7 linked regions of the Ovis aries genome follow. Each later gene encodes a partner of the first gene's protein in a complex. Links are inferred from orthologs where the notes say so. Each region holds a gene or a part of one and is shown in the gene's direction. Other genes may lie near its edges. The genes, in order: SNRNP40, CD2BP2, PPIH, RBM22, U6 snRNA-associated Sm-like protein LSm3, LSM5 and BCAS2.

The links.
Region 2: SNRNP40 (region 1) and CD2BP2 share a complex: the UniProt entries of both Homo sapiens proteins name them as parts of the U5 snRNP complex. The link is inferred for Ovis aries from reciprocal best matches to the Homo sapiens genes SNRNP40 and CD2BP2.
Region 3: SNRNP40 (region 1) and PPIH share a complex: the UniProt entries of both Homo sapiens proteins name them as parts of the U4/U6-U5 tri-snRNP complex. The link is inferred for Ovis aries from reciprocal best matches to the Homo sapiens genes SNRNP40 and PPIH.
Region 4: SNRNP40 (region 1) and RBM22 share a complex: the UniProt entries of both Homo sapiens proteins name them as parts of the postcatalytic spliceosome P complex. The link is inferred for Ovis aries from reciprocal best matches to the Homo sapiens genes SNRNP40 and RBM22.
Region 5: SNRNP40 (region 1) and U6 snRNA-associated Sm-like protein LSm3 share a complex: the UniProt entries of both Homo sapiens proteins name them as parts of the U4/U6-U5 tri-snRNP complex. The link is inferred for Ovis aries from reciprocal best matches to the Homo sapiens genes SNRNP40 and LSM3.
Region 6: SNRNP40 (region 1) and LSM5 share a complex: the UniProt entries of both Homo sapiens proteins name them as parts of the U4/U6-U5 tri-snRNP complex. The link is inferred for Ovis aries from reciprocal best matches to the Homo sapiens genes SNRNP40 and LSM5.
Region 7: SNRNP40 (region 1) and BCAS2 share a complex: the UniProt entries of both Homo sapiens proteins name them as parts of the postcatalytic spliceosome P complex. The link is inferred for Ovis aries from reciprocal best matches to the Homo sapiens genes SNRNP40 and BCAS2.

The regions. Positions count from the first base shown.
Region 1 is NC_056055.1:236,094,139-236,098,206, forward strand, and holds the start of SNRNP40 (U5 small nuclear ribonucleoprotein 40 kDa protein), read left to right. Parts: upstream 1-1,268; 5' UTR 1,269-1,298; coding exon 1,299-1,442; intron 1,443-4,068. UniProt on the Homo sapiens protein: Required for pre-mRNA splicing as component of the activated spliceosome. Component of the U5 small nuclear ribonucleoprotein (snRNP) complex and the U4/U6-U5 tri-snRNP complex, building blocks of the spliceosome.
Region 2 is NC_056077.1:27,062,918-27,067,191, reverse strand, and holds the start of CD2BP2 (CD2 antigen cytoplasmic tail-binding protein 2), read left to right. Parts: upstream 1-1,474; 5' UTR 1,475-2,057; coding exon of another isoform or gene 2,058-2,678; exon of another isoform or gene 2,679-2,702; intron 2,703-2,975; exon of another isoform or gene 2,976-3,060; intron 3,061-3,625; exon of another isoform or gene 3,626-3,694; intron 3,695-4,249; 5' UTR 4,250-4,274. Other genes in the region: TBC1D10B (TBC1 domain family member 10B), read left to right, coding at 178-332, 419-1,054; sesquipedalian-1-like, read right to left, coding at 2,058-2,678. UniProt on the Homo sapiens protein: Involved in pre-mRNA splicing as component of the U5 snRNP complex that is involved in spliceosome assembly.
Region 3 is NC_056054.1:17,161,326-17,165,463, forward strand, and holds the start of PPIH (peptidyl-prolyl cis-trans isomerase H), read left to right. Parts: upstream 1-1,338; 5' UTR 1,339-1,362; coding exon 1,363-1,428; exon of another isoform or gene 1,429-1,763; coding exon 1,764-1,828; intron 1,829-2,119; coding exon 2,120-2,143; exon of another isoform or gene 2,144-2,237; coding exon of another isoform or gene 2,238-2,260; intron 2,261-2,415; coding exon 2,416-2,460; intron 2,461-2,711; coding exon 2,712-2,754; intron 2,755-4,138. UniProt on the Homo sapiens protein: PPIase that catalyzes the cis-trans isomerization of proline imidic peptide bonds in oligopeptides and may therefore assist protein folding. Participates in pre-mRNA splicing.
Region 4 is NC_056058.1:59,831,541-59,835,506, reverse strand, and holds the start of RBM22 (pre-mRNA-splicing factor RBM22), read left to right. Parts: upstream 1-1,166; 5' UTR 1,167-1,179; coding exon 1,180-1,233; intron 1,234-1,662; coding exon 1,663-1,716; intron 1,717-3,118; coding exon 3,119-3,148; intron 3,149-3,740; coding exon 3,741-3,873; intron 3,874-3,966. UniProt on the Homo sapiens protein: Required for pre-mRNA splicing as component of the activated spliceosome. Involved in the first step of pre-mRNA splicing.
Region 5 is NC_056080.1:116,710,674-116,713,081, forward strand, and holds U6 snRNA-associated Sm-like protein LSm3, read left to right. Parts: upstream 1-1,283; 5' UTR 1,284-1,296; coding exon 1,297-1,605; 3' UTR 1,606-1,908; downstream 1,909-2,408. UniProt on the Homo sapiens protein: Plays a role in pre-mRNA splicing as component of the U4/U6-U5 tri-snRNP complex that is involved in spliceosome assembly, and as component of the precatalytic spliceosome (spliceosome B complex).
Region 6 is NC_056057.1:65,579,037-65,583,208, forward strand, and holds the start of LSM5 (U6 snRNA-associated Sm-like protein LSm5), read left to right. Parts: upstream 1-1,372; 5' UTR 1,373-1,392; coding exon 1,393-1,438; intron 1,439-2,499; coding exon 2,500-2,595; intron 2,596-2,876; coding exon 2,877-2,904; intron 2,905-3,507; coding exon 3,508-3,580; intron 3,581-4,172. UniProt on the Homo sapiens protein: Plays a role in pre-mRNA splicing as component of the U4/U6-U5 tri-snRNP complex that is involved in spliceosome assembly, and as component of the precatalytic spliceosome (spliceosome B complex).
Region 7 is NC_056054.1:91,954,769-91,958,268, reverse strand, and holds part of BCAS2 (pre-mRNA-splicing factor SPF27), read left to right. Parts: coding exon 1-33; intron 34-2,317; coding exon 2,318-2,479; intron 2,480-3,500. UniProt on the Homo sapiens protein: Required for pre-mRNA splicing as component of the activated spliceosome. Component of the PRP19-CDC5L complex that forms an integral part of the spliceosome and is required for activating pre-mRNA splicing.

The DNA.
Region 1 (4,068 bases):
TTTGTGCCTTTTACTCATTTTCCTCGCATTTGCCACAGGACTTCTGCACATGCTGTTCTAGATGGAACATTCTGCCTTCCTTGCTTCACCCAACTAATTATAATTCTTCCCTGAGGCTATCAGTTCAGGCATATTTTCCTTACAGAAGCCGTCCTGTTTATTCAGGCACTCATTAACACCAGGTACCTCTCCTAGGTAGCACACACTTCCATACTTCCCATTTCCTAGTGAGATCTGGTGAGCATCTATTTCCCCCCAACCCCAGACTTAAAGCTCTGAAGTCAGGGACCATGTTTGGTTCACAATGTCTGCCCAGTGCTCTGTATTATAAATATTAGTTGGACGACTGAGAAGAAGGCCTAGTTCACAGGTCTGAGTTCGAATTTCTCAACAAAACTGTACTCCGGAGGCCAAGAGTCGGACATTACCTTCATCTCTATCTTTCTGAGGAGGCGCTAGTAAAGGCTGCGGAATCATGGCAGTGACAAGTCCGCCTCTTCAGTCAGAGAGGACCCTGATGGAGGCTAGGAGATGGGCCTTTTCTCCCTGGGATCGCCTGGGCTAGGGCTCTGCACGGAAAACACTGTTGAAGAAGTCAGCCATCGAGGGCCCCAGGCTGAGCAGAGGCTCCCAAAACTCTGCTCCAGGCTAGAAAGGGAACCCAGGCTAGGTGCTAAGTCGCTTCAGTCGTGTCCGACTCTGCGACGCCATGGACTGTAGCCAGCCAGACTCCTCTGTCCGTGGGATTCTCCAGGCAAAAACACTGGAGTGGGTTGCCATGCACTTCCCCAGAGGATCTTCCCCACCCAGGGATCGAACCCGCGTTTCTTAGGCTTGGAACCCAGGCTACTACACACCAGAGCTAGGAACTCGGGGCCCCCTTTGCCCCTTGCAATCAAACCTGCATCTGAGAAGAGCCAGCCTCAGACCACTCCAGATCCCACAGCCACCCGCCCCTCGACCTTCCTTACACTTACTTGTTGTCTGCTTCTGGTCTTTCCCTCGCAGCATTGCGCGAAACACCAAAACCCAGTCAGTGAGCTTCCACCCACAAGACACAGCGCGCCTAGGCGGGACTCCAGCTCTATCCACCAATCCTGAATTCGTACTCTAGTGATGTCAGAAAGAACTGGCCAATAACAGGAAAGTTCTCAGGGGGCGGTGCTGAGAGGTATATTGGAAGTCGATTGGGTTCTATCGGCCGGAAGTTCTACGGGAAAGACTAAGTCCGAGCCAATCGTGAGGTACCTGAGGGGGTCGGCGCGGTCAGTGGCGGCCTGAGGATAGCGGCTGCCGCCATGATAGAACAGCAGAAGCGTAAGGGCCCAGAGTTGCCACTGGTCCCAGTGAAGCGGCAGCGACATGAATTACTGTTGGGAGCGGCAGGGTCGGGCCCTGGAGCCGGGCAGCAGCAGGCGGCGCCGGGAGCTTTGCTGCAAGCGGTGAGTATAAGGAGCAGGCGGCCTTCGGCCCTCAGCTCATCTTCCTCTCTCCTCAGCACCTGGTGATCCTGCGCGGCCCTTAACCCACACTCCCGGCCGGAGCGGGACTCTCTCTCCTAGGAGTTAAAGCAGAAAAACACGGTAAAAGCGGCGTACACCCGGCGATTCTCCCTGCGTTTCTCCATTTGACGCGCGTTTTCAGCGTCTTGACCGCCCTGTGAGGAGGTGTTAGAATTAAGAATTGAGGATCTTGAGCTAAAAACCGAGACCAGGGTTTTGACTTCTTAAATGTTCCAGGGATCCAGTATAGAATAAACGATAAATTTCAGAAAACTTGGAAGATTGGATGGATGAATGAATGAATGAATGAGGGAAGGGGGGAAATGAATGCCGCTGGCTCGTTTTGGGGACTTGGGAAACTTGCTTTTCCCGTTGTTTCTCTGCACTGGTATTAGTAATAACCAAAGAATAGTTACCATCCGTTGAGCCCTTGTGCTGTGTAAATGAAAACTGCATTAATCTCGGTAACTTCCCAAGAGTTAGGAAATATTATTATCCTAATTTGTAGACGGGAAAACAAAGTTATATAGTAAGTGATAGGACTTCCCTCATAGCTCAGCTGGTAAAGAGTCTCCCTGCAATGCAGGAGACCTGGGTTTGATTCCTGGGTCAGAAGATCCGTGGAGAAGGAAATGGCAACCCACTCCAGTATTCTTGCCTGGAGAAACCCATGGACAGAGGAGGCTGGTAGGCTATAGTCAGTGAGGTCGCAAGAGTCAGACATGACTTAGTGACTAAACCACCAGGAACAGCTTTTAAACTCAGAATCCATGCTCTTAACTACATTTCCTGTAAAACTGAGGTAGTGATCACACCTCTGCTTCTATCCTGTTAGGCTCAGCTGACAAAATATATGTCTTCCCGCCCCCCACAACTCCTCAACCAGCTGGTTAGCAAATGTTGACACCACCCTCAAACTATATCCAGACTCACTACCGCTTCTTCCACCTTCCAGCTTCTTTGGTGGCTCAGACAGTAAAGAGTCTGTCTGCAATGGGGGAGACCCAGGTTCAGTCCCTGGGTTGGGAAGATACCCTCGAGAAGGAAATGGCAACCCACTCCTTTTTTCTTGCCTGGGAAATCTCATGGACAGTGGAGCCTGGCGGGCTACAGTTGATGGGGGTCACAAAGAGTTGGACATGACTGAGTGAGTGACTAACACTTTCTACCACTTCCATCACTAGCTCCTGGTTTAAGCCATTAGGGCTTCCCTGTTGGCTCAGAGGTTAAAGCATCTGCCTGCCATGTGGGAGACTTGGGTTTGATCCCTGGGTCGGGAAGATCCCCTAGAGAAGGAAATGGTAACCCACTCCAGTATTCTTGCCTGGAGAATCCCATGGACAGAGAAGCCTGGTAGGCTATAGTCCAGGGGGTCGCAGAGTCGGACACGACTGAGTGACTTCACTTTTCCTTTTTTTTTTTGCGATTTCACTTTCACTTCACTTGTCTCATCTGGCACTATGGCTGTAGGATCCTACTGGAATTCCTGTTTCTGTTTATGGATGCTCAGTCTATTCCCAAACCAGTAGCCAGAGGAATCCTTCTAAACATAAGATCATATTACCCCCCGCTGAAAACTTGCCATGGTTTTTCACGTCAGTCAGAGTAAAACTGAAATCTTGGCAATCTTTTGCCCTCTTTCACTTGATCTCTCTGATCTACCAATTTTCCATTGCTCACCTTTCTCCAGTCACAGTGGCTTCCACGCTCCTGCTACAAAGTCTTTGCATTTGCTGTGCTCTCTACTGAAATACTCTTCTTCCAAGTGTCCACATGGTTTATACACTCAGCTCTTCCCAATCTCTGCTCAGATAACACTTTTCCACTTTCCTGACCAGCCCATTTTAAATTGCCATACCTTGTGCTCATCTACATTGCTGCTCTGTTTTTCTCCATAACACATGCCACCGTCTATATGTTTTACTTGTTTCTGCTCACCCTCCCTCTTTTCTGTCCTTCCCACTAGAACACAAGCTTCATTTTTTATTTTGTTCAGTACTGTTTCCTAAGTGCCTGGGACGGTACCTGACGCAGTATTTCCTGAGTAAATGAGTAAGCTGGAAACTAAGGAGATTTGCAGATTGTTAATAGTGTGCTTCTGTCTGGCAAGAATATCAGCCTGGGTTTCTTTGAATTGCCGCGACTGCAACTGGTCTTAATGTCCAAGACCATTATCAAAACTACTTTCTTCAATAACCTGTACCCTGCAGGGTTGTTGGAAGCATTCGTTCAATCATTCATTCATTAAACGAACTAGAGACTGGGAAACAGTGTCATGTTACACTGGTAAGGTTCCTGCACTACAGAGCCTTTCTCGTGGCAGAGCAGGGGAGACAAACTAAACAAATACATAAGAAACGTAATTTCAGATAGTGATAAGTTCTTTGAGGGAAAAAAGTAGTGTTGATCAAATGCAAAAGAGAGGTAGGGTGCTGCTTGGGCTTGAGTGTTCCAGGAACAACTTTCTGGAGAGAAAGCACTGGAAAGGAACCACACACAGAAAGATCTCGGGGAAGAGGCCTCCAGTCGGGGACAACAAAAGATCCTGAGGCAGAAGTAAGTTTAA
Region 2 (4,274 bases), on another chromosome or scaffold:
TGCTTTGCCTCCCAGGAACCTAAAACCCATGGTGGCTCATTTTCTTCTCAAGGCCTCCATTTCCTCATCTGTCGGGTCAACAATACACAGGGATGGGGGCTGTGAGTACCCCCTGCACGGGCCAGGCTGAGACCCCCCAGGCTGATCACCCATGGCCTCTTCTCTTCGGGCCTGCAGGCGTCAAGATCATCTTCCGGGTGGCCCTGGTGCTGCTGCGGCACACGCTGGGCTCGGTGGAAAAGCTGCGCTCCTGCCAAGGCATGTATGAGACCATGGAGCAGCTGCGGAACTTGCCTCAGCAGTGCATGCAGGAGGACTTCCTGGTGCACGAGGTAGGTCCTGGCCTTAGCGTACCTCACACCCGCTTCAGTAGATCCCCACCCCACTTCACCCTGGTACCCATGTCTTCTCCATCTAGGTGACCAACCTCCAAGTGACAGAAGCACTGATTGAGCGAGAGAACGCAGCCCAGCTCAAGAAGTGGCTGGAAACCCGGGGCGAGCTGCAGTATCGGCCCTCACGGAGACTACACGGTTCCCGGGCCATCCACGAGGAGCGCCGGCGGCAGCTGCCCCCCCTGGGCCCCTCCTCCAGCCTCCTCAGCCTCCCTGGCCTCAAGAGCCGGGGCTCCCGGGCAGGTGGAGGGGTCCCCTCCCCACCCCCTCCCGTCCGCAGGGCCAGCGCGGGGCCTGCCCCAGGGCCCGTGGTCACCGCCGAGGGACTGCGTCCATCCCTTCCTTCGCCTACTGGCAACAGCGCCCCTCTGGCCCCTAGCGGCAAGGAGGCCCGGAGGCAGGAGAAGGAGCGGCAGAAACAGGAAAAGGAACGCGAGAAGGAGCGGCAGAAACAGGAAAAAGAACGGGAGAAGCAGGAGAAGGAGCGGCAGAAGCAGGAGAAGGAGCAGCAGAAACAGGAGAAGGAGCGGCAGAAGCAGGAGAAGAAGGCCCAGGGCAGGAAGCTCTCACTCCATCGAAAGGCAGATGGACCGCCTGCCCCCCAGGACGGCGGGGACAGGTCCTCAGCATCAGAGGCCCGGCAGGATGCGTACTTCTGACCTCTGCCCTGGGGCTGGACTACGTGGCCCCCTCTTTTCCCTCAGCCAAGAGCAGACCTAGCCTGGGGTCCTGCTCCCAGCCCGCCCTTGGCAGGCTGTCCCTCTTTTTGAGGAAAGTGGCTTGTTCCCCGTCTCCGTGCCAGCCGCTGATCCCCACGTGGCCAGGACAGTCAGAACGGGGGGCAGCTGCATTTCCCTGGGGAAGCAGTGGACACCTCACCTCCAGCTCGGCCCAACTGGGGTCCCTTCCCAGGTGCCACTCTCCTGATTGGCCTTTGGTCACCGCAGGGGTGACCTGTGGCAGTGGGAGTCAGCAGTTTTCAGATTCTTACACTCCAGTCACTCCCCTTACCCGTGAAGTGAAGCTGGGTTCCTTTACCCCCTTCAGTCCTGCCTGTCTTCCCCCAGTTCCTGGTTGGGGGCCCAGGCTCTTCTTGCTCTCCTTCTGGACATCTCTGTGTTGTAATTATGTACAGAGGACCTGGTGGGCCCCGGGTGGGGGTGTTCACTCCATCTTCTGTTCTCTGGTTCTCCCTCCTCAGTGTTCTTGCACTCTAGTTTATTTAAGGGGACACGCACTGGAACAGGAAATGTCTCCCACCTCCCACCACCACCCTCCTTGCTCTCCTTCCTCTTCACCCACCTTTCTCTGTATTCTCAGGCCTCCCCTGCTTTATCTGACCAGGGCCCCTGCCTTTCACTTTGTCCCTTCCAACCCTCCAGCCCCTTCCTGGGTAAGGGTCTTCCCCTGAGCCCCAGGGGGTGGAACCCAATGTTTACATGTTCTTCTGTCTCTGCCCCCACCCTGTTCGGCCGCTTTGAGGAACCGGAAAAGAACCTGCTGTTGTACCTGGGCCTGTCTTTTGCCTTGTTATTTGATGAGTGGGGTTAAAGTAAGGACAAGGAGGGAGGGAGTGATGAGTTAGCAAGGATCTGGGTGTCTCTGGAAGCTGTTGACTGGACTTGGCAGATACCTTTGGGTCTTTAGTCTATTAGTCACTCATCAACACAGTTGTTGCGTTCCTGCTTCACCTCCACCTGCTGGGGATCTGCTGCCTCCGTTGTCACTGGCCTCCTGGAACTGTCTGTGGACAGCCTGCAGCATCCGGATCTCCTTTCCAAAGTGCTCGTGCAACTCCTGGAAGCTGAAGAGGGTCCTGGGGGTGGCTGGGGAGCCACAGTCCTCTGGGGGTGAGCCGGGCTCTTGGCCAGCTGCCTGGCACAGCTCCCGGTACTGGGCCTCCAGGGGGCGTAGCAGCTCAGCCAGCCGCGTCCAGGTGGCTCCGGCCAACGCCCACAGCCAGGCTCTCAGCTCCTCCCGGTTTTCTGCTGCCAGCCTGTAGGCCCGCCCACCATCTCCCCCTGGAGTCCGAATGGTAAAGGCATAAGGTTCTGTGGCTCCAAGGCGTGGCTCCACCTGGCAGTTCTCTAATAGGATGAGACCCAGGGGTGTGTGGTCAGCCTGGTGTTCCAGGTAGAAGAGGAGGTTTCCTCGCAGGATGAACCAGCGGCGCTGATAACTGGTATTTCGGGCCCCCTTCTTTAGCAGGATGCCCTCCCGGTCTGGAGCCTGTGTTCTGTACCCACGGAAGAAACGGAGCACGGACTTTCGGTGCAGTTTCATGGTAGCCCACTGTGGGAAGAAACCCTAGGAGTGGAGAAAGGAGGAGTGGGGCATTTGGTGATCCGGAGTACCCCAGCACTGCCCTCCTCTGGTTCCAGCAGGCTCTTTCTGGGCACTGTCTTGGTCTTGGTCTAGAGGGATTCAAACTTGAGTTTTCAAGAAGGACCTTCCACCCACCTCCCAACCTCAGCTCTGCCCCTTGGGCCAAATTACAAAACCTGGGCAGGACTGTAGTGCTGGGGTCCTGTTTGGGGGTGGGGTTGGCGGATATCCACTACGGCCCTTTCCCAGGCCTACCTGAGATGAGGGCACAAGGGACTTCAGGCCTCGGTACTGGGAACAGGTGCCACTGCCACCTCTCCTATTTGACTCTTCCCACCTCAGAAACCAGGAACTTGGCCAGGGGATAGGAGGCGGCTGATTTTAGACTTCCCCTGGGTCCTAAAAGGAGCTGGGTTCGGAAAGTCCCAGGAGAACCTCTGGGACAACAGCAAGGCTACACCTCGGACTAGCAAAGGGCGGACAACTGGACGCCAAGAGTAGGAAGGCAGGATTTCTAATGAGATGATGAAGGGCGCAGAACCAGCCGTGGGGAAAAGGAGACAACCCGGGAAAGAGAAAACTAGGGCAGGAACCCACCGGCCCTGCTGGGACTTTGTTCCTCCATCGTGAACCTGGGCGCCCCTTTCTCCTCAGAGCCTCTAGTGTTGTAGGAGGAAACCGAGATCACTTCCGGCCATCCTCGTCCGATCAGGGTCTAGGCGTTCAAATGTCCCCTCTTCTCACCATAGTCACCCCACACGGCTCGCGTCACTTCTGGGAGGGGGCGTCTCTCCCCGCGCGGCGCGTACTTCCGCCCGCTCCTTCAGTTGTTCATCTAACCCGAGTGAAGCCACTTCCGGCTTTCCCCGCCGCCTTCCGCAGTTCTCTTCCGGGTGGTGGCGGGCGGGTGGCCCGGATGTAGCCCTGGTGAAACCCTCTCTCCCTTTCTTCCCCCACCTTTCCTGGATCCTTAGGTGAGCGCGTGCCGGCGGGACTGCTGGTGTCCCCGTGGCCCTGCCGCCTTTCTAATTTGTACACAGCCCAAGACAGTTGGGAGTCACCCCGCGGAGTTGGGAGTTCGGCGCAGGGAGGAGCGGGGCTGCCAGGGCGCTAGGTCCTGGGTCTGCCGGGGCCCCTCGGGTTCCGAGGAAGCTGGGGGTGGTGGAGCGGGTGTTTACCCGCGAAGCACATCGCGCCCAGCACTGCTGGGGCCTGGAATAAGGGTGGTCACGTGGGGGAGCCCGTCTCCTCTTGTCAAGGGTGGGGGTGCCCGTAGGAGCTCCTCCGCCCGTCCGCTCTTGCGTCTCCGCACCAGCGGCTCTTTTAGATGCTAAGCCAAGTCCCGGGAGGGGCGGGGGGAGGGGCGGGTTCTGGACTACCAGCTCGCCTTTCGGCTCCTGATTCTGTACTCCCTTCCCAAAGTGGATCTAGTACCCGCCAAGTAAAAGATCTGTTGTGCAGGGGGCCCCCTCGCGGGGAGTTGCCTCCTCACCCAGTTCCCTTAATCTGCACCCTTTCCCTCTGCTCAGTTTGGAAAAGCCCTTCTGTCCAGTC
Region 3 (4,138 bases), on another chromosome or scaffold:
GTGTGCTGGAAGCATAGTCTTAACCACTGACCCACCAGGGAAGTCCCTGAACTATCATTCTGTGACTGCTTTTCCTTTGTTTTTGCATTCCCTCATTAGGAACTATTTGGATCTGCTCTTTGGAACAAGATCCAGGAGGGTCAAGTCTTTCTACAAACAAGGAATCAGGTACATAAGCAAGGGTTTTATACACAGCAGTGTCCTGCCAAGGGCCGGCTGTCTCAATGCCTTTTTCTTTGGTACTCAACAACCTTGAGGGAAACAGGTGGACAAGAAAGGGAACGTTATAGATAGGTTATTCCTAAGCTTTGCAAAGGCACCCGGTTTTTACGAAGGACCCAGCTTCATTTTCATGGAGTTAAACAAGTGTGAAGCAGCTGGTGAGGTGGGGAAACCATATAATTTTGGATGGTGAATGGCATGAAGAAAATCAGTAATCTATCCAAAAGAGTGACAGAGGGCTACTTTAGATTGGGTGCAATGTTCCTGACTAATGACCTGAGATGAGACTTGACCTACAAGACCACTCCGCACCCTCATGAAGATTTAGAAGAATATTAAAGTCAGTTAACAGGCCCTAAATAGAATCCGAGTCTCCGTGACCTAGAGGAACAGGCTAGAGTCCCAGGTAGGTGGCCAGATAATGTAATGTAGGTCTTTTATGTAGCAACTGGATTTTATTCTAAATAAGGGAATCCGGGAGTGATTTATAAGCAGATTCATTTAAAAGCTCTAGCTGCTCTGCAGTAAGTGACTTGGAGATGATGAAAGCGGAAGCTTGTGGGAGAACTGGAATTAAAGTCTAGTGCCTGACTTCATGAAAGTGCTGAATATACTGAACAAGCCTTATATGCCAGGCTGTTCAAAGCGCTGAGGATAAACACGGTTTTTGCTTCCGGGCCTCCAGACTAGTGAAAAGGGGTAAGAGGCCGCACATATGATGGTTCAGACGGTCTTGGCTGCAAAGGCTGATCAGACCCTGAAGACTGCCTAGTCCAAGCCCCGTAGCCTGAGCGAGAATCATCCGTACTGCACTTACTGTATCCAAGTGAATGAGAGGCCCGTGGGCCTCGAGCGAAAAAAAAGCCGAGGATGTCCTCCGGCCTCAGCGCTCAAGGAGACTCAGGTGAGGTAACAACTTGCGACTCGTCAAAACGGAAGGAAGCCCCGGCCACCCACGCAGCGCGCAGCTTGGCATCGAAGGCAGAGAGCTTCCGGGGGCGGGGCCGACCGCCTCCCACCGCACCGCCCCCCCCCCCGGCTCTTCCTGCGCCTGCGCCGGAAATAAACACCTCCCGGCGGAGCAAGATCATAGGATCGCCGGAACCCCGCGCTCCCGACTTCTGCTTCCGGGTCAGAGGCATGGCGGTGGCAAATTCAAGCCCTGTCAATCCCGTGGTATTCTTTGATGTCAGCATTGGCGGCCAGGTGAGGTCTTGGCAGCCAGCCAGCCCGATGCCAAAGGGAACGTGCACGCGGTCTGGCAGGCAGATCACCTCCTCAGGTGTAGCAAACTCGGGAAGCCAAAAAGTGAAATTGAACCAGAACCTACCGACCTGCGGGGCGGGGGTGAGGGAGTAGGAAGAGGAGGAGTCTTGCGCATCCTAGCGCCCGGCTGGTGGAGGGACCGGGTGGAACGGAAGAGTAGGCTACGGAGGCGGAGGTGGGAGAGACCAAGCGGCATGGGGGCCCGAGGGTTCCCTGTTCGGTGAGGCCTTCACGGGCTTGGACTGGGCTTTCTGAACGTCTCTCGCCGGTTGCAGGAGGTTGGTCGTATGAAGATTGAGCTCTTTGCAGACGTTGTGCCTAAGACGGCGGAGAATTTTAGGTAAGATGATGTTCTTTGCTGGATAAACCAAACGAGAAGCTGGGCCTGTCTGTGGAATCTTCTGCCTACCTCTATCCGTTCATTCACCGTCCTTGAGATCTGACTTCTCTGGGTATCTCTCTGAATAGTCTTGACCGTCCCCTTTTCAGTTTATGTTAATCTGTATGCCTGGACGTCTGACCAGCCAGTTGGTGGGCTAGCTAGCGCCGACGTTCCCCTTCCCGCTGAGGTTAGGGACGCTCAGAGTTGTGATGCCATGGCGACTGAATCGTTCACTCTTTTCCTTTTCAGGCAGTTCTGCACAGGAGAATTCAGGTCAGTCTCTGACGTGGTTGACTTCTCTGCTTGCTCCTGAGGGCTGTCCTGAGGCTGCAGTTGAGGGTATTGGGGAATCACCGGCAGGCCTTGTATGACTGGTGACAGTAATAGAAGGTATTACTATGGGTCTGTCCTCAGTTCATTTGCCTTCTTCGTCTCTCTTCTCCCGACCATCTTTAGAAGGGTGTCTCTGGCTCGACTGTATGGTAAACGTGAAAGGCCTATGTTTACCTGTTTACCATTTCAAGTCTCTTTCTTTTTGCTTATAGAAAAGATGGGGTTCCGATAGGATACAAGGGGAGCACCTTCCACAGGTAAGGCCTTTGGCAAGCCATCCTGGGGGACTTTTAAAATTACTATTAGTATGGTTTAGAATTACTTCCTTGGGGGATTAGTCTCTTCAGAGGAAAACAAAACCATAGCATAATTCTTAGTTCTTGAGAAGGGATGCTTTTGTGAACTCAACCATTGATTTGAGGACTGAAGTGATAAACATTATATTTTGAAATTAATGTTATTCCAAACCACACAATCTTCTCCCAGCATCCTTTGTTCTCTGTTTCAGGGTCATAAAAGATTTCATGATTCAGGGTGGAGATTTTGTTAATGTAAGTACTGTTCCTTTCCTATTAAGGGCCTATAAGTTTTGTTTTTGTTGGTTGTTGTTATTGAAGCTGCTCCTCGGGGAACTGAGAACAGTAGCCAAGTTTGCTGGGGGAGGAGGTGGGAATGGGAATATCCTGTGATGGCTGCTACTCGCTGCATCACTAGATAACATATTAGCACTTTGATTGAGTCACTCACTCCAAATCTCAGTCTTTTAGGGCTGGGAACTGACTTTCCCAGCATACCTATAGGTGATCCATGACAGACCCAAATTAACTGGGCACATGGAATTTAGCTAGAAATCAGTTACAGTTAACTTTCTCTAAATGGGGGCAAGTCCCTTTCCAGTGAGTTAAATGCTTATGCCCTGATTTCCCATTCACTTCTGGTATCCCAGTGCCTCGGAAGGTGAGTTGTTATTTTTTTAATCAAGTTCATTAGTGGGCAAGAAATCAGAGAGTTCTGGAAGGATATTTTCCCTATTCACTAGGAGAACCCATTGAATTAATCCTTCATTGCTAAGCATGATTTTTCTTGCCACTGTATGCATCCCCATTTCAAGCTTCCCAACCTTGCAGGGTTCTGAATAAACCACATTTATGCTTTCTTAAACCTACGTTTGTCCATACCCACCCATTTCTGTGCATGATCTTTCTTATTAATATCATTTGGTTAGTCATGTTGCTGTTTTCTTGGATCTGGGAGACATTCTTTATCCTTTACATGTATATTTAGTTTGACTGTTAGGAGTTTTTTTAAGATTTCTATCTTTCCTACCCAGATAAGTTTACAAAGTGGCAGATTTGGGGCTGAATCCGAAACAGATATGCTTTGTATCATCTGTATGATGTTGTAAAACTGGGAAATTTTCCGGAAAGTTCTGGAGTTTTGTTTTCTCTGTTACAACTGAAAAGTAGGGGTGCACTTGGCCTGTGTTTCTCATGTAGCAACATTTGGTTGAGTCAAGTAACAGCTCCCTTTAGACAGGTATGTCCTTATTATTTCACCACAGTTCCCACCACTGGCTTCCCTTCTTTACGTCACATACTCCTATAGGCATTTAAGTTTGCAACCCCTGGCCACGACTGATTAGAGTAGGGCTTGGGGTGACCATATCCTTTTTTATTGGCAAGTAAGAAGGGCTAAGATGCTATTCTCTGTGTTCTTTCTTCCAAAGGCTTCTATACTGCTATATTGTCTTAGCAGGGATAGGACTAACTTCTTATGGGTCATTGCTAGGCACATGTGATCACTTGCTAATTGCTCTAGAGTTAGCAGTTAGTCAGCCAGAAGGCTGTCAGGGAGAAGAAATTACTCAGAGCCACCCTTAGGGCAGAAAAAATAGAATGAGCAAGACGTAGAAGCAGAATTTGAGACCTTCTAAAG
Region 4 (3,966 bases), on another chromosome or scaffold:
TACTGCCCTCAGTCTTTCCCAGCATCAGGGTCTTTTCAAATGAGTCAGCTCTTTGCATCAGGTCGCCAAAGTATAGGAGTTTCAGCTTCAACATCAGTCCTTCCAGTGAACACCCAGGACTGATCTCCTTTAGGATGGACTGGTTGGATCTCCTTGCAGTCCAGGGAACTCTCAAGAGTCTTCTCCAACACTACAGTTTAAAAGCATCAATTCTGCGCTCAGCTTGCTTTATTGTCCAACTCTACATCCATACATGACTACTGGAAAAACCATAGCCTTGACTAGACAGACCTTTGTTGACAAAGTAATGTCTCTGCTTTTTAACATGCTGTCTAGGTTGGTCATAAATTTCCTTCCAAGAAGTAAGCGTCTTTTAATTTCATGGCTGCAATCACCATCTGCAAGAGAAGTCAAACCCAAAATAATAGTTGTTCCAAAAATGATTTAACAATACACATGTTGATCCATAAGGCTTTTCATTTAAGAAGTTGGAAAAAAGTACTGTTGTCTTTGGATTTCTGGCTTCACCGTTTTTTAGCTACACGACCAGAAGCAAGTTCATCTCTCTAAACCTCGGTTTCCTTCTATAAACGAGGTACAGTCACACTTGCCTAGAGGGCAGTGGTTGCCAGGAAAGTGCAGGACATCCTCCTAAATTTCACTTTCAGAAAAACGAGTCATTACTTAGCGTAAGCATGTTTGGAACAAATTTATACTAAAATAACTCGTTGTTTATCTGAAATTCAAATTTTACTAGACGTTCTGTTTTTGCTACATCTGGCAACCCTATAGCGGGCTTACTGTGGGAATTAAATGAGATAGTCACCGCAAGACGTTCCCCCCACTTTTTGGCATAATAAGCGCTCACTGGGGTCGACGCTGTTTTAATTCCAGGCCCTCGTTCATTCTAGTTCCTTTATTCTTTCACTCAATTTTTAAATAAACCAGTTGAACTTGTGACTCTTCATTCCTGGCTGTCACCACTGGAAGGAAGTAACTAGAGGCCACTTGTCAAGAAATTCCAAGCGAGCGATGCCATTACACAAGGTGCCGCCCTCAAGGGCGCGCAAGACGCGTAAATAAGACGTCGACGTGCCGAGAGGCAGCCGCGGGGCCTGACGGGATTGTGGCGGTCCTCTCCCAACTCGGAAGCTGCGGCTGCCTCCAGACGCTCTCAAGATGGCGACCTCTCTAGGTTCCAACACCTACAACAGGCAAAATTGGGAGGATGCGGTGAGTGAGCCTGCCGGAGGAGAACAGAAAGAGGCAGCGAAGTCAGGCCTCCAGCGGGCGGGCAGGGACGTGGCTGCGGTGCGGCCGAGGGAATTCCAAGAAGAAGCCAGCACCGCGGCCTAACTCAGCTACGGCTGAAGGCTGGAGGGCGGCCCTCCTGCGGGCTTGGATGGAGGGGGTTTAGCCAGGGTCTGGGACCAGCTCCCTTTCTGTGTCTACTCCCTCCACTCTTTTCGAGCGGGTCTTTACTCCCGCCGCCTCCCGGAAGTGCATACAGCGCCCGCTCCCGCGACCCGGCCCGTGCTGGACCACGGGTTCCCCCTGTTCCCCAGCCTCGCTCCTCGCCCCCTCCCCCGCGCCGCACGACAGTGGCTGAGACGGCAAGGCCTTTGGAGCTTGGCGTTCAACCAGCTTTCCCATTTTCACCAGGACTTCCCTATTCTGTGCCAGACGTGTCTTGGAGAAAACCCATATATCCGAATGGTGAGTGATTGAGTGTAAAACGGGACCTACTGTATGTATTCTGTCAATGTTTTGGTACTCGCACACTGTCGGTCATGTATTTCTCTTAGCCACGAAGAAGTAATGATGCTTCTTTACTAACCCGAAGTGTAGGAAGAATTTGCAAAGGACTGTCATGTTCTCTCACTTTGGAACTCGGCGACAGTCTGTGATCTAGGAGTCATAATAATAGTTAATCGGAGAAGGCAATGGCACCCCACTCCAGTACCCTTGCCTGGCGGAATCCCATGGATGGAGGAGCCTGGTGGGCTGCAGTCCATGGGGTCGCTAAGAGTCGGACACGACTGAGCGACTTCACTTTCACTTTTCACTTTCATGCATTGGAGAAGGAAATGGCAACCCACTCCAGTATTCTTGCCTGGAGACTTCCAGGGACAGGGGAGCCTGGTGGGCTGCCGTCTATGGGGTCACACAGAGTCGGACACGACTGATGCGACTTGGCGGCAGCAGCAGCAGGTCTGTTAACCAGAGGCAAAGAAAGTTTATTTCTTTTCAATACAGCAAGTAAGGTGTGGAGCTGGCATTTAAGTTCAGATATTCTGACTCCAGGGACCTCAACAAATTAGAAGGAGAACCAGGACTGAACTCAAGTACCTTTTGGCCTCCACACCTTATAATGTGTTTAGTGTAAGGTACTTTCTCTCCTTATAAATAAGAGTAAAATTAGCAGCAGTTTATATTTAATAATTGGGGCTGTGTTGTGATCAATCTCAGAGATATTGATTTATTATATAAGAGGACCATCACAGGATGAGGCTGTAGTAGTTACCTCTGACTAAACTTTGGAAAATGGACCGGCCCTGGCTGCATCCTCTGTGCTTTAGGCACTGTGGAAACCATTAGGAAATTGTTCTTGGGAGAAAACTTGGGAGCCAGAGGTGAATCTTAAGAATTGTGGTTGTGGAAAGGTACATACTTACTCCATGTTAGATCCATAAAATTCTTAAGAGGTCATAGTTTGTATGTGATTAGATTATATCCCAGCCCCTTCCTTGCCCTCCCCAAAAAGGGTAGGGTCCCATTTCCCTATCCTACCCCTTAAGATGCCAGGGATTTCCAGATACTTTTCTTGTATCCTATGTGGAAAAGACTCTGATGCTGGGAGGGATTGGGGGCAGGAGGAAAAGAGGACGACAGAGGATGAGATGGCTGGATGGCATCACCGACTCGATGGACGTGAGTTTGAGTGAACTCGGGGAATTGGTGATGGACAGGGAGGCCTGGAGTGCTGCGATTCATGGGGTCGCAAAGAGTTGGACACGACTGAGCAACTGAACTGAACTGAACTCAACTGATGTAGAGAAGGAGCAGGCATCAGCTTTTTTCCCCTGTGTCTGTAACTCCTCTATTTTTTCTATTTCAGACCAAAGAAAAGTATGGGAAGGAATGCAAAGTAAGTGTGTTAAAGAGTAATGATTTAGTTTTATTTTCCTTTTTTCTTCAACTCCCTGAGGTTTGAAGTTCTTTATAAAAGTGAGTGTGACACTGTGCATTCATGTATCATTTATGTACTCTTTGGCTGTTAACTACTTAGGGTAGGAGTAAGAAAATGAGCCACTTAATGCAAGGATTCTGAACTTGATGTCTGTGGTTGGTCTTTGAACCCCCTGGGATTGCATATACCAAATGTTCTGTGATTATGCCTATGACCATTTTTAAGCTGAGGGGGAAGGTCATAGATAGAAGATTTTTAAAGAAGCATAGGACACTCCCTACTCACCTCATAAAAGATTAAGAATTACATTGTTAATGCTGGTGACCTCTAGAGTGGGAGGACTTTGATTTTTGAGTATTTAAACTACTGAAGAAGACTGTTGTGAAGGATTGAAACGTCAGATCCTGTTTAGCCTAGATGATTGCTAAGATCTCCTCTAAACCCTAGATTTGGGGATCCTTTCTTTGAATCCCCTGCTGTTACTAAATCTCCTGGATTAATTGTCCAGATCTGGACTGTTAACACTCTGTGGCTTTATCTTGTGTTCCAGATCTGTGCCAGGCCATTCACAGTGTTTCGCTGGTGCCCTGGGGTCCGCATGCGTTTCAAGAAGACTGAAGTGTGCCAGACCTGCAGTAAACTGAAGAATGTCTGTCAGACCTGCCTCTTAGACCTCGAATATGGTATGTTTGACTTGTCCCATAGTTCTGAAAGTGTGCCAGTGCTCTAAACAGCAGAGCAGTCTTCCTGTCTCTGGTTCTGACCCACTTTGAAAT
Region 5 (2,408 bases), on another chromosome or scaffold:
TGCTCAGTAGCTCAGTCGTGTCCAACTCTTTGCAGCTGCATGTAGCCCGCCAGGCTCCTCTGTCTATGGGATTCTCCAGGCAAGAATACTGAAGTGGATAGCCATTCCTTTCTCCAGGGGATCTTCCCCACCCAGGGACTGAACCCGGGTTTCCTGCATTGGTGGGCAGGTTCTTTACCATCTGAGCCACCAGGGAAGCACCCATGACTTAGTACAGCAGGGATACTAAGGCAGACATGTGGACTCCTTTGTTGGACAACTTTGGCTCAAGGTCTTGCAGAAGTTTCCTTAGACTGCCTGGTAGTCTCAACTGCTTCCATACATCCTTTTCTCTTCTTTCCCTCCTTACCAGTCAGGCTTCACTCACAGCTCCTTCTCTATTTTCTTTTTTTTTAAATATAAATTTATTTATTTTAATTGGAGGTTAATTACTTTCATACAGTCATTTCTCCTAATAAAATCTTGCCGTGTTTAATCTTGTTTTGACAAGAGCTTCTTGGAGGTGTAGAATAACATAAGTAGAGTGGGTATTTGAGATTCAGGAAACAGTGTTTACTTCCTAGGCCTAGATCTGAGTCACATGACTTGGTAAGAAAACCCAAAGCTGTGAGACTTCAAGAAAACTTAATGTTTGGTAGCTGTATATGCATGACCAGGTTATCAGGAATAATAAAGTCAAAAGGGGTGAGGAGGAAGATGCTGGGGCACTGGCTGCAAGCCCTGTCGTTGCCTTCTGCCATCCAAAAGCTGGGGAAAGATCTCTGAGTGTCTTGGGGAAGCTAGTATTTTCATTCGGCACCATCTTACGTGGCTGGCTCTGGTTTGTCGGCCTGGCTCCAGATGTCATTCTTTTCCTCCATGATTACCAAGTGGTTGCTACATCATCACGTGAGAAAATACTGGGTAACGCAGTAGAGAATTTGGGATCCAGGCTTTACTTCTTTCCTAAAGATGATCTCATTTGGTCAAGGTCTGTCTTCCAACTTCCAAAAATCTCATTTTTCTTGGTTTCAGCTTTTCCACAAGTTCTTTGCTATGTCTTTTGTCTTTGTAAACATGAAATGTTTTATTTTCTTCACTCAATTAAAATGCGTTTTGTGGGGACTTCCCTGGTGGTCCAGTGGTTAAGAAAGACTTCACCTTCCATTGCAGGGAATATGGGTTAGATCCCTGGTCAGGGAGCTAAGATCCCACATGCCTTGTAGCCAAAAAAACATAAAACAGAAGCAATATTTTAACAAATAAAGACTTTAAAAACGGTCCACATTAAAAACAAAACTTAAGAGGGTTTGAAAGATGGCGGACGACGTGGACCAGCAACAAACCACCAACACTGTGGAAGAGCCCTTGGATCTCATCCGGCTCAGCCTGGACGAGCGCATCTACGTGAAGATGAGAAACGACAGAGAACTTCGAGGCCGGTTACACGCTTATGATCAACATTTAAATATGATATTGGGAGATGTGGAAGAAACTGTGACAACTATAGAAATTGATGAAGAAACATATGAAGAAATATATAAATCAACAAAACGGAATATTCCGATGCTCTTTGTGCGGGGAGACGGCGTTGTGCTGGTTGCCCCGCCATTGAGAGTTGGCTGAAACGAGAATCCGCCGCCTGTGGGAGACGGGCTGTGCTGTGCGGTGGCCTCTTTGAGTGTGGAAGATGTTCCAAAGAGAGACCGATGTGCATCTTGATGCTGAAAATAAGCAAGAATTCTTCCACTCCTGAAATAAGTTGATTTGTAGATAACTCACAAATACTTCAGCTAAACGGCATTTTTATTTTTCTCCAACCCTTCCAATAAATGTGATCGGCGCGATACAGAAAAAAAAAAATAAATAAAAAAATAAAAAATAAAAAAAATAAAAAAAAATAAAAAATAAAAACAAAACTTAAAAAAATATTCATATGTTTTCAGCTCTTCCTTTCTTTTGAATTCTTTTTTTTTTTTTTTTTGGTGGGGAGAAGTACAGTTGCTTTACAATGTTGTGTTAGTTTCTGCTGTACAACAAAGTGAATCAGCTATATAGCTCTCTTCTTTCCTTAATATTTATTTATTTGTTTGTTTGCCCTGGGTCTTAGCTATGGCACACAGGATCTTCAATTTTGTTGCGACATGTGGGTTCTTTTAGTTGTGACATGTAGGATCTAATTCCCTGAATGGGGATTGAACCCCAACCCCCTGCATTGGGAGCCATGTGTCTTAGCCACTGGACCACCCAAGAAGTCCCACAGCTCTCTTCTTGAAGAGGCAGGTGTGTGTTCTGAAAAGAATGGGAATGGAGATGGAATCTCGACTCTACCACTTCCTACATGTGAGACTTCGTGGAAGTTAATTTTATGAGCCTTGATTTTCTTGTTTATAAAATGTAGATAACACCACCTACCTCCCAGGATAGTT
Region 6 (4,172 bases), on another chromosome or scaffold:
CTGAATGTTAATTTGGTTTCTGTAATGGAAAGCAAGATATTGACTTAAAGCTTATTTTCTTGAATTTTAAACTCTATCAGGTAGCAACAATACCTTGAATTTGGTTCCTATTCACATTATGGTATGGTGAAAATGAAACAAGAATAGATATAGGAAAACAAATTTTTTTGGCATTACTTTGTCTTGCCAAAGAATGATGTGACGATTGACTAAGATCCCTGAAGTTAAAAGAGCACTTTTTGCTTTACATATTAAATTCCACGTGCTTTGTACATAATGCTTGCTAGTTGTCTTTCTCCCCCATTTATCCTTTAGCTCCTATAAGGGCAGAAGACGTTGTAGTTCTGTTCTTTACGCTGGTTATACTGAGCAAAATGCCAATGTTCAACTAAAGTATTTGTTCGATGAATGAATGATTGGTGCTTTGCAGCCATTGTGTGAATGAATGATGTCCTTCCTGGCCTTTCCTGCTTAAACTCTTTAGCTTTAAGCTCCTCAGATATAAACATAAAATAGACCAACGCAAAAAATTTGTTCGCTTTTTCTTTTCAAAACAGATGCGTAAAAGCAGCAAGGCTTCCTAAATGTGATGTTATTAACATAGAATGACATCTGGTGGTTGCCTGTTGGACTGTGGAAGAAATAGTGTATACAAAATGTATAGCAGACTCCTAGATATTACAAGATTAAAAAGGACAGTTCAGTTCTGTCACTGTTTTGTCCGACTCTTTGCGACCCCATGGACTGCAGCACACCAGGCTTCCCTGTCCATCACCAACTCCTGATAGTAGAAGATAGAAAACAATAGAAATGGAAAAAATTGAAAAAGTAGAATAGAAAAATAGAAAAAGAAAACGATAGTAGAAAATAGAAAACATACTTAAAATTTCCCCCTCGCCCAACAAACTTTATTAAAAATGCTAGTTGTGGGTTTTCAAATCATCAAACTTTTAAAAGAAGCGGTAGATTTTTTTTTTTAACGAAAATTGCAACACAATGAATCGGTGGCGGGAAAATCAAATTTATTGATTCTGGTCGAAGAAAGATCCTGGGTTGATATGAGACACACCTCGATAAGGGGAAATAAGACAGCACAAAGGCTTCCGTTTCGCAGGCTTCCGGATTAGAGAAATAACTTATTTATAAGACCGGAGATCTCTAAAGTCTCTTGGAAGTTTGGAGAGGCGAGTTATCTGTGGAGAACCTAGAACGCTCAGTGAACAGAAACACTTTCTAGAATCTCCCTGCAGGATAAAGAAGTGGCTGGATCTCCTCAATCGCACTCTCGGCCTCAGATTGGTCGAGCCTGCCTGGGCCGGAAAAAAGCGGAAGCGCGCTCTTTCAAACTCGCCGTTCCGACGTCGATAGAGGCAGGCCACTTCCGGCGTAGCCATGGCGGCTAACGCTACCACTAACCCGTCGCAGCTGCTTCCTCTAGGTAATCTTTGTCCTGTTGGGGAGCCGGGGCGGGGAGTTGAAAGTTAGGGTTGGGGCCGAAGAGCAAGGCAGTCCCTGACCGAGTGTTAGAAAAACGTAGCTTTCTCTGCAGCTCTCCTTTAGGCTCCAAGTCTCGGCGGCCTGAGGCCGCACAAGTCTCTCTGGCGTGGGGGAGTCTTCTTGAGGCAGGGGTTTTTGACTCCCCAAACCTTCACCGGAAAGGTTCAGTCTTGGTGAATGTGTCGTTGACCTTCTTTGTTGGGTGCTCGCCTTTATAATAGTAAGAGGCCCATTCCGCAACCGGGCTTTTAAACTACCCGGGTTATATCCTGTCTGGCTGGTTTCTGAGTGAGGCACTTGGGTCTGGAATGAGCCTTTAAAGAGGCCTCTGAAAACTAGCTCTTGTTACTCATTTATTCAGCAAGCAGTTACCGCGCCATCTGTGCACTAGACACTGTGATTGGGCACTGTTCAACAAATTTAAATCACGGCCATTACCTTCAGATAGCATACAAACCAGTGTAGGAAACAGGATACAGGGCAGACATAGACTTAATGACAAGGAGGAATCTCTGGTGAAGACAGTTCTGCCTTTTTTTTCCCCTTAATATTTTATATTTGAAGGGTTATCGGGTTAGTGGATGTGGCAGTTATTGTAAAGGTTTTTTTCCATCCTGGAACAAATTCTTCTGAATGACCAGTACATTTCAGGCATTGTCCACTGGGGATACACTGATGAGTAAAAACCACCTCTCAGCTCTCTTTCAGCTTAGAGTCAAGAGGGGCGTTCATATGTTAATCAGATAACTAAAATAGTATTAAACTACAACCATGATAAATTGCTACAAAGGAGGGTTAAATGAATAACAGGGAGGGAAAACTGTCCTTTTAATAGAATGACTGAACAGAGATATGTAACATAAGGTCTAAAGTTTTGGAGTGAATACTTTTCCTGGCTTATCTTTTCACCATATGCATGTAACAAGTGTCAGTAGGCATTCAAATATTTGTTAATGTTATGAATGGGCAAACTAATCTTCTCTCTCCCGCCCTTATCTGCAGAGCTTGTGGACAAGTGTATAGGATCAAGAATTCACATTGTGATGAAGAGTGATAAAGAGATTGTTGGCACACTTCTGGGATTTGATGACTTTGTCAGTATCCTTTTAAAAGGTGGTTGTATGGATTTTTCTTCAGATTTTTAAAAAAGAACTATAGACTATCAGTACTTACCGATTATTATAATAAAGTTTAATTTATTTTTTTGGAAATTGTGATAGTGTTTTAAGGGATTGTGGTACTGAAAGATGAAGTTCCTACCAATTGCACGCAGCTTGCATTTGAGCCATTGTATTCAATGTTATAATTAAAACTGAACAAAGAAATAAGCCAGAGTAAATTTAATTTGGTATGTTTATTTTCTTAACACCAAATTTCAGATATGGTATTGGAAGATGTCACTGAATTGTGAGTAGTGTTAAAAATTAAAGAATGGGTAGGGGGAATCTCTGTTTGATTTAAGGCAGTTTTAGTGCTGTTGAGTCAGTAAAAGGATGTAGGAGAGCACACTGCCTGTTTGAATTACTCTAAAGAGAGAAAGTTTACCTACTGATGTTAGTAAAATTGGATTGGAGGATTATTACCATAATTTAATTGTCACTAATTGCTAGGAAGTTAGTGGAGACAAAGGTTTAAGGTAAAAGATACTAAAAGCAGCCAGGGATCTTAGCGCTCAGATCAAATAAAGGAACTTATAATAAAAACATTTAATGTTTTAAATTAGTTACTCTAAAACTTATGTGTATATATATATATATAAACATTTTATTTCATATTTGATCTCCTTGGTAAGTTTCAGTTTTTTAGATGAAGATCTGCACTAGTGGATGTGGGTCTTAGGCCAGTCAGTCCACTCTCTTGCCTTTGGAGAATTGACATCACCATGGGGATAACCTTGTCTCTGGAAAGTGTACAGTTCATTTATATATAGTAACTAACCTTTTGGTGGATCAGAATGTTGGCTTTGATTATCACTCTTTATCCTGACTTTTTGAAAATCTTTTTGTTTAGTGAAATCACACCAGAAGGAAGAAGAATTACTAAATTAGATCAAATTTTGCTAAATGGAAATAATATAACAATGGTAAGACAGTGAAGGTCTTTTATTTAGATGTTAAGCCATCTTTGTGGGGCAGGGATTACAGAACTGACTTGATTGACTCAATGTTCTTGGCCCAGTGGTGCTTAGGGTGGGAAGGGAATGCTCTGCTGATCAGGATTCTGTGGCCAAACTGTTGAAGATGACATTAGGCCTAAGATTAGTTTGTTTATACCTTTTATCTTATGTATTTTTAAAATATTTATTTATTTTTTTATTTGGCTGCATTGGGTCTTAGTTGCATCACAGAAGATCTTTACTTAGTTGCAACATGTGGGATCCAGTTCCTTGACCAAGGATCAAACCTGGGCCCGCTGCATTGGGAGCATGGAGTCTTAATCATTGCACCACCAGTGAAGTCCCTGCTTGTGCTTTTTAATCATTTATTTTACCAAGAATTAACTGTTGAAACATTAAATCACTAAGTATTAATTGATACTGTTGGAATTGTAAACAGAGGTGACATGGGGAAAATGGGAATATGAGGGAGAGGCAAAGGCTGATCAATGACCAGTCAGTGAGCTCTCAGTAGGGGTTTTTAGATCATGTGGTACTAAGTTTTAAACTTTTTCCTCCT
Region 7 (3,500 bases), on another chromosome or scaffold:
TCGACAACCAATTGAATTGCTCAGTATGAAACGGTAAGTCCTATTCTTGGTTCAGCTGGGCTCAGATCATTCTTTAATTTTAATTTATTAGTAAAACTTTTGTCAGTTCAGTTCAATTCAGTCTCTCAGTCGTGTCCGACTCTTTGCAACCCATTGACTGCAGCACACCAGGCCTCCCTGTCCATCACCAGCTCCTGGAGTTTACTCAAACTCATGTCCATTTTGAGTTGGTGATGCCATCCACCCATCTCATCCTCTTTCATCCCCATCTCCTCCCACCTTCAATCTTTCCCAGCATCAAGGTCGTTTCCAAGAGTCAGTTCTTCACATAAGGTGGCCAAAATATTGGAGTTTCAGCTTCAACATCAGTGCTTCCCATGAATATTCAGGACTGATTTCCTTTAGGATGGACTAGTTGGATCTCCTTGCAGTCCAAGGGACTCTCAAGAGTCTTCTCCAACAGCACAATTCAAAAGCATCAATTCTTTGGCACTCAGCTTTCTTTAAAGTCCAACTCTCACATCCATACATGACTACTGGAAAAACCATAGCTTTGACTGGACGGACCTTTGTTGGCAAAGTAATGTCTCTGCTTTTGAATAAGCTGTATAGGTTGGTCATAACTTTTCTTCCAAGGAGTAAGCGTCTTTTAATTTCATGGCTGCAGTCACCATCTGCAGTGATTGTGGAGCCCCAAAAAATAAAGTTAGCAACTGTTTTCACTGTTTCCCCATCTATTTGCCATGAAATGATGGGACCAGATGCCATGATCTTAGTTTTCTGAATGTTGAGCTTTAAGCCAACTTTTTCACTCTCCTCTTTCACTTTCATCAAGAGGCTTTTTGGTTCCCCTTCACTTTCTGCCATAAGGGTGATGTCATCTGCATATCTGAGGTTATTAATATTTCTCCCGGCAGTCTTGATTCCAGCTTGTATTTCTTCCAGTCCAGCATTTCTCAAGATGTACTCTGCATATAAGTTAAATAAGCAGGGTGACAATTGTTACTTTCTCTAAAATGGGGAATTGGGTTGCTTACCATCTGAGGTCCCCTTCAGCTCTCAGATAACTCTGAAGTGATGAGAACCAATATATAATCTGGCAGAGCGGAGAGGGCCACGTGAACAGTGGAGTTATCCTCTCAGCATATGTACAGATTATAAGAGGGATTTGAGCCTATAGAACCAAAGGACCGGATTTCTTCTTTTCTTATGCTCCATTTCCTATCTGGCCTGACATGATAAAAGCAGAAAAACTTCCAAGGCTCCTTAGTTCTCACATTTCTAGCTGCTTCTGCTCTAAAGGTTTTCACAGTAGTAGCTCTTTCATAACAGCATATTTTAAACCCATAAGTAGGTTATAATCCATTAAGCAGTTGATTGTGAAGTTTAGTAAGACATCACAGCACTTTTTTTTAAGGAAGATTAAAAAACAAATCCGAATGCATTGCATGTAAAGTTAAGTACTGTTTTGTGAAACTTCTGTTCAGTTCTGTGTATTTGTATACTGTGTCACAGTGTAAAATATTTCTTATTGTGGGTTATGATCTGAAGTTCTTAAAATGATACAGTTACGATGTATGTGTAAAGTTTGCTTTAAAAAAAAAAAAGAAACAAAGTGGTTTATTACTTCTTAGTCCCAGCTGCATATCCCTCAATTTTTCATAGGAATGATATGAAGTTTTTACAGTATCTAATAAAAATAACAAAATGGAAATTGAAAGTTAATTTGTAACAACTCAGTAATGAGCTGGGATTTATGAAGAGTATATGTTGCTGGCTACATTGGCAGTATTGAAGGACTGGGTATTATTAAAAATAGAGAAAAGACTGAGTGTGAAATGTAAAAATCATTATATACCTTTGCCATTTTTTTCTCTAGAGGGGTGTAGATATGTGGGTAGGAGGGTGCATAGATGTAGGTGTGTTTTACAAAATGATAGCATAGTTTTTCATATCCTGATTTTTTTCCCTTAATGTATTACAAACATTTTAATATTCCAAGTATTCTTGAGTAACATTTAATAGCCAATATAACAGTCCTTTTTGTGAATGTAGACTGTAGCTTATTGTATCATTTCACAATGAAGTGAACAGTTTTTTGTTACTGTATATCATAATGCTAAACCTTATTTGTAAATCGATTCTTAGCATAAATGCGCTTCTTATTATTGCAAGGTCTACGTGTTATCTTCAGTCTTCTGGTTGGCTTCAGTCTTCTGTTTTTACAGTGTGGGTAGACCTATGAGGCATTCTGTTGGGAGTAGAGAGAAAGATTTGGAGGAATATATGGTTTTATTTCATTGTTGTTTAATTTCAGATACGAACTTCCAGCCCCTTCCTCTGGTCAGAAAAATGACATCACTGCATGGCAAGAGTGTGTAAACAATTCTATGGCGCAGTTAGAGCATCAGGCAGTTCGAATTGAGAATCTGGAACTAATGTCCCAGCATGGATGCAATGCCTGGAAAGTGTATAATGAGTAAGAACCCTTTTTTTTTTTTTTAACCCATCCCACCTGTTTAAGGAGACCTAAACCTAACACATTTATTGTGTAACATTGCAATAGCAAGTTCTGAGGTCTGATTTACAAAACAGCTTGGTAGTAGACTATAATCCTTAATGTGGGGGGTTGCTTATACAGTCAGCTCTCATTAGTTGCGCTTTCTGCTTTTTAAAGTTGCCTTGAATATTGAATTAGCAAATACTGAACCATTTCAGCATTTGGGAGAAATAACATACATGTGTATATATATACACATCTCATATAGACGATAATCTTACACACTTTATAACAACTCACCCTGACAGGCTCTGTATTTCCTTTATTTTATAAAAGAGAAGACAAAGTTCAAAAGTGTTAAGTAGCTTGCCAGAGTTGGAAATTACACTCTCTGCTCTGGTTATCTCTGCATGAGACCTGAAACAAGAAGGTGGAGTATCTCCTTGTTCTGCTTTAGCTGGAAATGCGCATGTCCAGCAACTCTGAATTTTTTGCTGCTCTTGAGCACATCCATGAATGATCACAGAACTCTGCATGGATTGATTTGGGGGTTACAAATAAATTTGAGTTAATAGGCAAATTCTCTTGTACAGAATCTGCAGATAATGAGAATTGATTGTAAGTAGAGACTTAACATCAGAAACAAGAGTGCTACTGAACTCCTATTTCTTTTCCACATAATTAGCTTTAGGTTTTGCTGTCTGTAGTATTTAAGGTTCAGTTTCCAATTTGTAAAAGTTAGTGGTTAGATGATCTTCATGGCTTCTTTGAGCCCTAAAATCACACATTTCTATTAACAGTTTAAGGCCATTGAACCTCATGACTGCATAAAACCGTTTGTTAGACGATGAGTCCTGAAACAGTAAAGCAAAAATCACAAAATGGTAAATAGCTTTTCTCAAGTTTTCATAATCATCATCAAACTTCTGTGGGCACATAAGGATCTGTGGGCAAAATCCAGAAGTTAAGAAACTGCAGCACAAACAATTCAGTTTCTGTT